Linked DNA regions of Neodiprion lecontei. The main gene of each other region encodes a partner of the protein of the gene in region 2 in a complex. Links are inferred from orthologs where the notes say so. Each region holds a gene or a part of one and is shown on either strand. Other genes may lie near its edges.

Region 1 (3,930 bases), on a different chromosome or scaffold from region 2:
CATCAGCCATTTGTACAACTGAAATATTAATTCTTTAGAAGCCAGTGATATTCAAATTAATACATTTGCATAAAGTTATGGTAGTATTCAAACCTAAATGACGACGCATTCTTGGACATCGATAAGTTTTGAATTGGGAAATTGCATGTCCTAAAAGACCGATGATTATCATCTGAAAATAAATTATAAACAACTATTTCTGCTACCAATTTATCACACGCATCACAATATTATCTCTCAGCATTCCTGAGAAATTAATTGACTTACAGAATGGTTGACAGTAGTCTTCTCTTTGTGTTGTAAAGCTTGAATAGCCGCTGCTTCCCGTGCCATGTCTGCAGGCTCAGCACTCAATTTCCCTGGACGCCATGGTCTCTGACCGTAATATTCAAGTTTGTCTTGGCCTGCCAAAGGATCAGGTTCGGGATACTCATTAACATCCTGAATCATAATCAAATACAGGTTTAGATTCATTATAGATGAAATAATATAAACCAAGTCAAATATCTGCTCACTTTGCAAAGATCTCTGCACGCTGTTTGCCGCAAAGTAGCATGCTGAGCTGCCAGCTGAAAGTAGTATCCTGGATGCTGAGTTTGAACAGCAGGAAGACCTTGCCTGATGGCTTCATCAAATAATTCCGCAAACGTGGAGAACTGTCCTGACATCCACGCGTGATGTTCAAACATTAGTTCTTTGGGACCAACTTTCAATTTAAAACTGTAATGGTATATGGAATTTGAGTTATGATATTCCCTTTGAATGCAATCAATTTTCTGGTACTGAGGCCTACTAGTAATTGGTGAAAGATAATCGTACATGTAAAATTTTATATTGTAAAGATATACATACCGATCTGTGTGAGCTCTAAACTGCGAAATAGCATCACGGGGAAGATTTAAGTTGAACATTAGACGACATAGTTTGTAATTTATGAAGCTTGCAACAGTCTTTATTTCCAAAGCATTTGTGTCCACCATTCGTATATCAAGCAAGTTATTGTACGCCAACTGATAATGCCTGTGAAATAAACACTTGCATGATTAGAAGGGATTGGTTCGCGAATTGAGTTATTGAATACAAAAGTGTTAGCTATGATTCGAAGTTCTCAACAAGCTTGTTTTTTTTTTTTTACTAGTGTTGATTAGGTGTCCAGATTGAAATATCACATGAAAAATAATGACAACTTGCTTGTGAGCCATGTGCTGATCCTGTTTCAATTCATTTAGAAAGCCCATCTTAAACTGATGCCGGACAAACAAATATTGATGTGTAGTCTTGTTCAGGTGATCTCTGTGATTTTTCACGATGCGGGCTTCCAGGTGATAGAAGTTTTGGGCCAAATCATAGAAGGCATTTTCCAACCTACATGTACAGATTGTCATTAGTCCTATTCAAACTTGCTGAGCACACAACCAACAAGTATTACACTTTATTATTTCAAGCAACTACCTTAGAGTATAACCCAACAAGTGATCGCCATGAGGTAAGACATATAACGATTTAGCTGGCAATTCACATGCAGCACACAAAGCTGTAGCACGCTCAGTTGTTGCAGCATCTTCAGCGCCTGGTTGTGGCGGTGCTCCATGCTGTATTAGAACTACAGCAATCTTCGTACTTCTACCCTCGATAGCAGCTCTATAATTGTTTGAAGATTTGTTATACTTAGATATATTTTGATTTGTAACCAAATAAATAATCTGATACATGTACCTCAAGGATTGAACTCTCGATGCACATTCGATCTTTTTTTCATTCCACATAGAATCATTCCAATCCAAGTCATAAAATATAACAACGACGGATGGTATGTCATTTAGATATTTATTCATCCAATTTCGTTTTAATATCCCTTTGGGTATGTACCATTCGTAGGAGTTACGCTACAGCAGACATCGAAAGTTATTCGTCATGCCATTCAATTTAAGGGGACAAATTCTTAGTGAAATAACTTGAATATTCGAGTTGTTGTATCGAAGAGTGATCTAATGTCAACAGACCTTTGGTTTAACTGTTGGAAACTCATGGGCATTGCTTAATATTTTAAACTGAACAGCTGCACTGTCTGGCCGGCGATTGTTGCTGAATGCATCCCAAATCAATCGGTGAATCGCATTGTTTACTGTATCCAATCCGGTAACACCGATCAAAGCCAAGGGCTTTGCTGTCAATTCTGCAGGTAGTTCTGACATGGATCAATGGACAAGAACCAGGAATAACAGAACAGAAGTCCCAAGTAGAATCTGTTGTAAAATTAAAAGGGTCACATATCTCAATTTGAAAGCTGTGATAAGTTATTGAGTTCAAACGTTATCAAATCTATTTAGTTTGACATTTCAATTGAGGTTAGGCTAAATAGGCACACTTAACAAAATGTGTTTTAAACCTATTTGAGAATGGTTTGCGCGTAAACTGGGCTCAGCGCTCATGCAGGATTTGGCGATTTCTTCTTTTTCTTAAGTCTTTTAGTTGGCTGTCGGGTCCCTACAGAGACCCCTGTACCACTAGTTTTGATGATTTTTTTGAGTGACAGAAAACTCAAATGATGACAGCTACGGTGTCAGGGCGGAGTAAAGATGCGAAATACGTGGGTAACAGATCGCGTGCTACCGCGCAAGCGTTGGCGAAACGTCTGCTATAGTAAGAACGAATCTGTTATCCACGATGAATTGATTGTGTCAACTCCCAAGCCGATCAAGTCTCACACAAAAAATGAGAAATATGATTCCGAATAATTTTAAAATACACTTTCCTGACGGTCATCACAATTTGCGGAGGTTCTGGGAATAATTAAGGTTGACAGCCTCAACGGAAGAAATTGCGACGCCCCGTTGCAGGCAACCCCGACTACAACCTTGTCAATTTGTAGTATTTACATCAAAACGGCGTTTCATCTACAGATAGGACGTATTTTGACATGTGTGCTGGCATGTGGGATATTTCGGAATGATCCGAAATGAAAAAATCGGATATAGATATACATTGGATCAGTGTCGCGGTTAATACAGAGATCAGTGGTGTGGAGATCAGATTTTTTAATCTGGGAACGTTGGCGTGTGTAGATTTCAAACTTCCTACATCATATTTTGAAATCTGAGTGTCTTTAAAGGTATCGGAAACTCCTAAATAGTAAATTCTTTCCAATATTTTGTTACGATAAAACGTCAACAACAGAGACCACGTCGTTTCGAAATACGTTCATTATTATTTTCAACGCTCTTCCAAGAATAGATTTCGGAAAACGGTGCTGGAAAATGAGTCCCAAGTCGCTGCGTTAATTTCTGAAACCTTAAAGTCAAATAATTCAAATAATTAGCATTTAACCGTACGTTATTTCAGTTGAGTTTCTTGGTCCAATTTGTAAAAACGGGTCGCAAATTGGCAATTTCGAAAAACACGCGACTAAATTTTTCGAGACGCCATGTACACGTAGCTTTGCTAGAAAAAACGTTTGCGCACAGTCTCAACCCATTGCGATCAACGAATCGAAAACTACAACCGAAAACAGAAAAATTGCTTCGTATTTCTTTAGGTGTTGGTCCATTTACGTTTGGAACACTTTTTCTTGAATTCTTCTGGGCCAAATTAATTCAGAAAAGGTAATTGAAATTGATTTTGGGTATTAGTCGATTTCGAAAATGGCTAAGATAAATTTACTCCTTATACCAACGTTTCTTCAATTCAAAAAATTGTTCATTGGCATTATCTGTTTCCAAAAAAGGAATCTGATAGAAATCTACTTTTGTTGCAATCCTTGCTATTGTATATCAGAATTCTTCATAAATAGCCATCACCTTTTGTTAAACCTAAGATCTGTTCTATCTTGTAGGTCTTTCCATTAAATACATTTAAGATCCTAATTATTAGTTTATAAATGCTCAATCACGGTCTTTATTATTACAATTTGTATCAGTTTTCCAACACACA
Region 2 (3,930 bases):
CTGGATTACCCATTCGCTTAGCGGCAACGACCAGCTCTTGTATGAGCTGAATTTGTAAAGTAGGCCAACCCCGCAAGCCATCTTGAAAAACCGGAGAATTAGTTAATAGTGAGACGTTTATACTTCCAGTTGTTGGTGGTTCAATTTAGTGAAAAGTTGTTCGCAACCTCACCAGAAGGCATTTCCACTGGATCAAGACTAAGCTTCAGCCCAGGTGCCGCTTGCAACATTAGATTATAACACTGCTGCCAATCAGGATTTGGATTATTTTGAGAAACATGCCTCGTAGCAGCTAGACGTAAACAGAAAGAGGCTTTGCGCGTGAAGCCAAAGGCAGTGAACAGTTCTGACAGTGTAGTGAAACGTTCAATCTGGAACAGAATATTTCCAACGTATTCAGCATTATCTCAAAAACATGCAATGAGTGGAAAACTGAATTTGCTTACTTTTTCATGCTCGCTAATGTTCAAATTGATGAATACAACATTATTGAGAAAAGAAGCTGCCTGCAAAGTGCAGTTTTGTTCTATAGAAATTCTTGTCGCCTTGAAACTTGCTTCCGTCTCAATTACCCCTGCGTTTTTGTGTTTGCTGTAGTGAACTATGGCTTCTCGATATTTTTTTGCAATTTCTTCAGGCGGTAAAATTTGCGGCATCTCAGCCTTGATCGCCTCTATATTAGGAGAAGGTGGCAAAGTATTCAAGGCCTGAGACTCCCTTCTGCAGATGAAAATGGGAATTCTTGATTACCTTGCAGACTTACTTTTCAATTCAACAACTTTTAAAACTTATATTTACCTTTGTTTCCCTGGACTACCTTCCTGCAAGGACGAATTTCTCTGTAAGGGAAGACTCCGACACATATTTGGATATAAGACTAGAACAGAAGCAGCACACAACCCCTCAAATGCAGCGCCGAGCCAGAGCCAATCCTTAACAGCTTGCAGAGTATTAGCAGCAGAATTGTAATGGTATAAAGCATCGGCAGGTAAGCCGGCCTGGAGGCAAAGATCTCCCAAGTGTTTGGTCATTCGTCCGACGCACCTCTTTCTCATGGTACCCGAGTCAAGGTCCAAACCAATGAAATCCTTCTTTTCAAACGGTGCAAGTAGCAAAGGAACACGGTCAACTTTTTCCCTGGATCGTTCAAGTCTTTTAGATTCTAGGATCCAAAAGAGAGAGTTTAGACATTCAGCAATTTGAGCTTCAAGGTCTGGGCAAGTTTCATCTGCGTAGAACAGCGCCCTTGTCTTAAAATTTGAAGGAGTCGTAAATGGTTTCGGTGGTTCATTTAAATTCTCAGATTCAACTGGTCCAAAAAGAATTGCTCTGGAATCGTAGAGGGTCGCGCTATATTTCACTTTCAAAGTTTCATGCAGTCTACAGAGCTCATCGAGCTCTGTCTGGCTGTCATATTTTCCTATAGTAATCAGGCCTAGGAGTCTTCTGTGCGTTTGAAATTCACTCCAATCGTTATTTTCAACTGGATGTTCCCTTACAAATCTGGCAAGAATTTCACGCGTTATACCGGTAGAATCAAGCACTGTAAATCTACTTCCACTCTTTATAATTCTCTCTCCTATTTTTGTTACTGTCTTCTGCTTCGTTTGAGTGCCAATTGGCTTCAATAGCAACAACAGTGCTGCGTGGTCGTGAGCTGTCTGCTCATAGTCGGGCTGAGACATCTTGTTGTCAGGCACCGAACTCGACAGAATTACACTGACTGCAGACCGCATTTATACCAACGCTACCATCAAGCAACAACCAAATGTGACCTGAAGACACAGAAAGTGGATGGTTTATTACATGAATGTTCAAGACTTACATCAATCTTCAAATATCATATTTCTTTGGTTTTGCTAGGTACACATGCACATTTTGGATAACCTTATACGGATTACAGAGAAGTTACTCTTGTTGTGTTTCTTTTCTTTTTCACTCAGTGTATTTCATTCATACTCGTGAAAACGCGAATGGAACATCTACAAGATTGACATAAATTCGACGAGTCAAAATTAGTCAATTCATAATTATTCCGCGCTGCTAATTTATTGCGAGAAGTTTTAACTTCCGAGTTTCTACCTACCTTAGCGGTGATCATTGTACAACGACGTGCAACGAAATTCAATTGATCAGAGCCTTAATTTATGGATCGGGAATTGCCGTTTGACAGCTTTCAACTCAGCTGACAAATAAAAGCTAGGTTAGGTCAGGTTGGGTGATATTAGTCAATAGCCGGTGTGAATTCAGAGTTTATTAGCGTTCTACAATGTTTACGTGATCAATGGATTTTGTATAATCGGACAAAAGGATGTTGTTCTGTCCAGATTTTCATTTCCACATAAATATAGTAATGAGAAATAAATTTATGTCGATGAACCAGATGGAATAGTCAAACTGTCAAGGCAGACTTGTGTCATATATGTACATAATCTTATTTTCACAAATCCGGATTCTATAACGAAGTGATTGTTGCACATACTCTCTAGTGTCAAATACGTACTCTACGGTTGTGTCCAATTGGTCAAATAGTTTGGTTATCTCCCACGAGGGTCGCGTGAGGGACACGATTGTGTTATCATGAGTCTCTCCTCGTCACTTTGTTTGCTTCGTTTAGGCAAAAATATTATAGTTCCGTCACAATATGTCGTGCAGATTAAAGGCTACGCGAAGGCAGATGCCGGTACGTATTAATGCATATCAACTCTCACATCTTTCATTGAAAATAGTTCCTCCGGAATTGTTTAGATTAGGTTAGACTAAGTTATGAGTTACATACGAACGGCATTTCGTGTTGCCAACCGACAGGTGAAAATATATCACGTGTTTGTCCCACAAGAGCGCGTATTTTAAACGTCGAATACTTTTCTCCTACCTTTCGACTGTTATACTTCGATATATCTACTTGATAATGGAAAACCATAGCTCTGCTTCTTTGATGTCAATTAATTGCGCAAGCAGTTAAAGTAAGTGCCATCTTTGTCCTATCTTCATTTCCTGTTTCAGGTGGTATGTTCGGAAAGGGGAAAAAAAAGCTGAAACTAAGTCAGCCGTTGGAGAGGAAGGTACTTCCAGTTGAAACAGATCCTGAAAAATTGGTAAAATTCGTGTGCGGAAGTAATATAATGAAAGAAGGACAGGACATTGAGATTAAGCCAGATTCTGAATATCCCGACTGGCTTTGGGACATACACATAGGCCCACCTCTTAAACTGGAAGAGCTGGATCCAGATACGAAAAAATACTGGAGGCGGGTGAAGAAAGCAGCCATGAGGAGGACCAATTTGATGGCCAAGTTGAAACCCTTCTAATGCTACCTTCGTAGTTTAGATTATACCGATTTCTTATACAATGTAAAAATAGATACTACATTAAGCTCTGTGAATGTTCGTGTACAGTAATAGTCAAAATAAAGATTCATAACTGACTTGAAACTTGTAAACACTCACTCCCCACTTTACGATTTTCAAGTATTATTTTGTACCAAAGTGAATCATTGACATTAGTACAAGTACACGTATGTAAGTGAAATAGGCCGGTCAAATTCTCAACCTTTTTGATTTCACATACTTTTTGTGATTCTCGTGAAAATATCGTAAATTCTGTTTCTGTATTCAAAGATGCGGCTATTTCTAGCGTTCTGTGCACTCTGTTAACCAATGCCAATGATTTTGAAACAGATTGGAGGACATACGTACATCACATACGTATGCGTACTAAATCTGGCTAAGTTGATGGTTTAATTATACAATGTGTTGAAATGAACACGTGATAATTAATCTGGAACCACAAATCGTACACCTATTTACAATCAGTGGAAAGAAGTGCTTAACCCAATAAACTAAAACGAATTGAATAGAATTGAGTACGTCCAAAAACGGAATCAAGTCGAATTAAAGCGAATTGGAAAAACGTGTGGAGATTCTTTTG

What was found.
Region 1: protein brunelleschi (region 2) and trafficking protein particle complex subunit 11 share a complex: the UniProt entries of both Homo sapiens proteins name them as parts of the multisubunit TRAPP (transport protein particle) complex. The link is inferred for Neodiprion lecontei from reciprocal best matches to the Homo sapiens genes TRAPPC9 and TRAPPC11.

Annotation. Positions count from the first base shown.
Region 1 is NC_060264.1:3,294,779-3,298,708, forward strand, and holds the start of trafficking protein particle complex subunit 11, read right to left. Parts: upstream 2,773-3,930; 5' UTR 2,390-2,772; intron 2,247-2,389; 5' UTR 2,196-2,246; coding exon 2,004-2,195; intron 1,887-2,003; coding exon 1,717-1,886; intron 1,642-1,716; coding exon 1,453-1,641; intron 1,366-1,452; coding exon 1,192-1,365; intron 1,021-1,191; coding exon 853-1,020; intron 721-852; coding exon 516-720; intron 442-515; coding exon 268-441; intron 173-267; coding exon 94-172; intron 19-93; coding exon 1-18. UniProt on the Homo sapiens protein: Involved in endoplasmic reticulum to Golgi apparatus trafficking at a very early stage.
Region 2 is NC_060260.1:38,738,678-38,742,607, reverse strand, and holds the start of protein brunelleschi, read right to left. Parts: upstream 2,393-3,930; 5' UTR 2,087-2,392; intron 1,776-2,086; 5' UTR 1,737-1,775; coding exon 799-1,736; intron 721-798; coding exon 447-720; intron 372-446; coding exon 173-371; intron 82-172; coding exon 1-81. Other genes in the region: 39S ribosomal protein L54, mitochondrial, read left to right, coding at 2,581-2,683, 3,007-3,311. UniProt on the Homo sapiens protein: Functions as an activator of NF-kappa-B through increased phosphorylation of the IKK complex. May function in neuronal cells differentiation. May play a role in vesicular transport from endoplasmic reticulum to Golgi.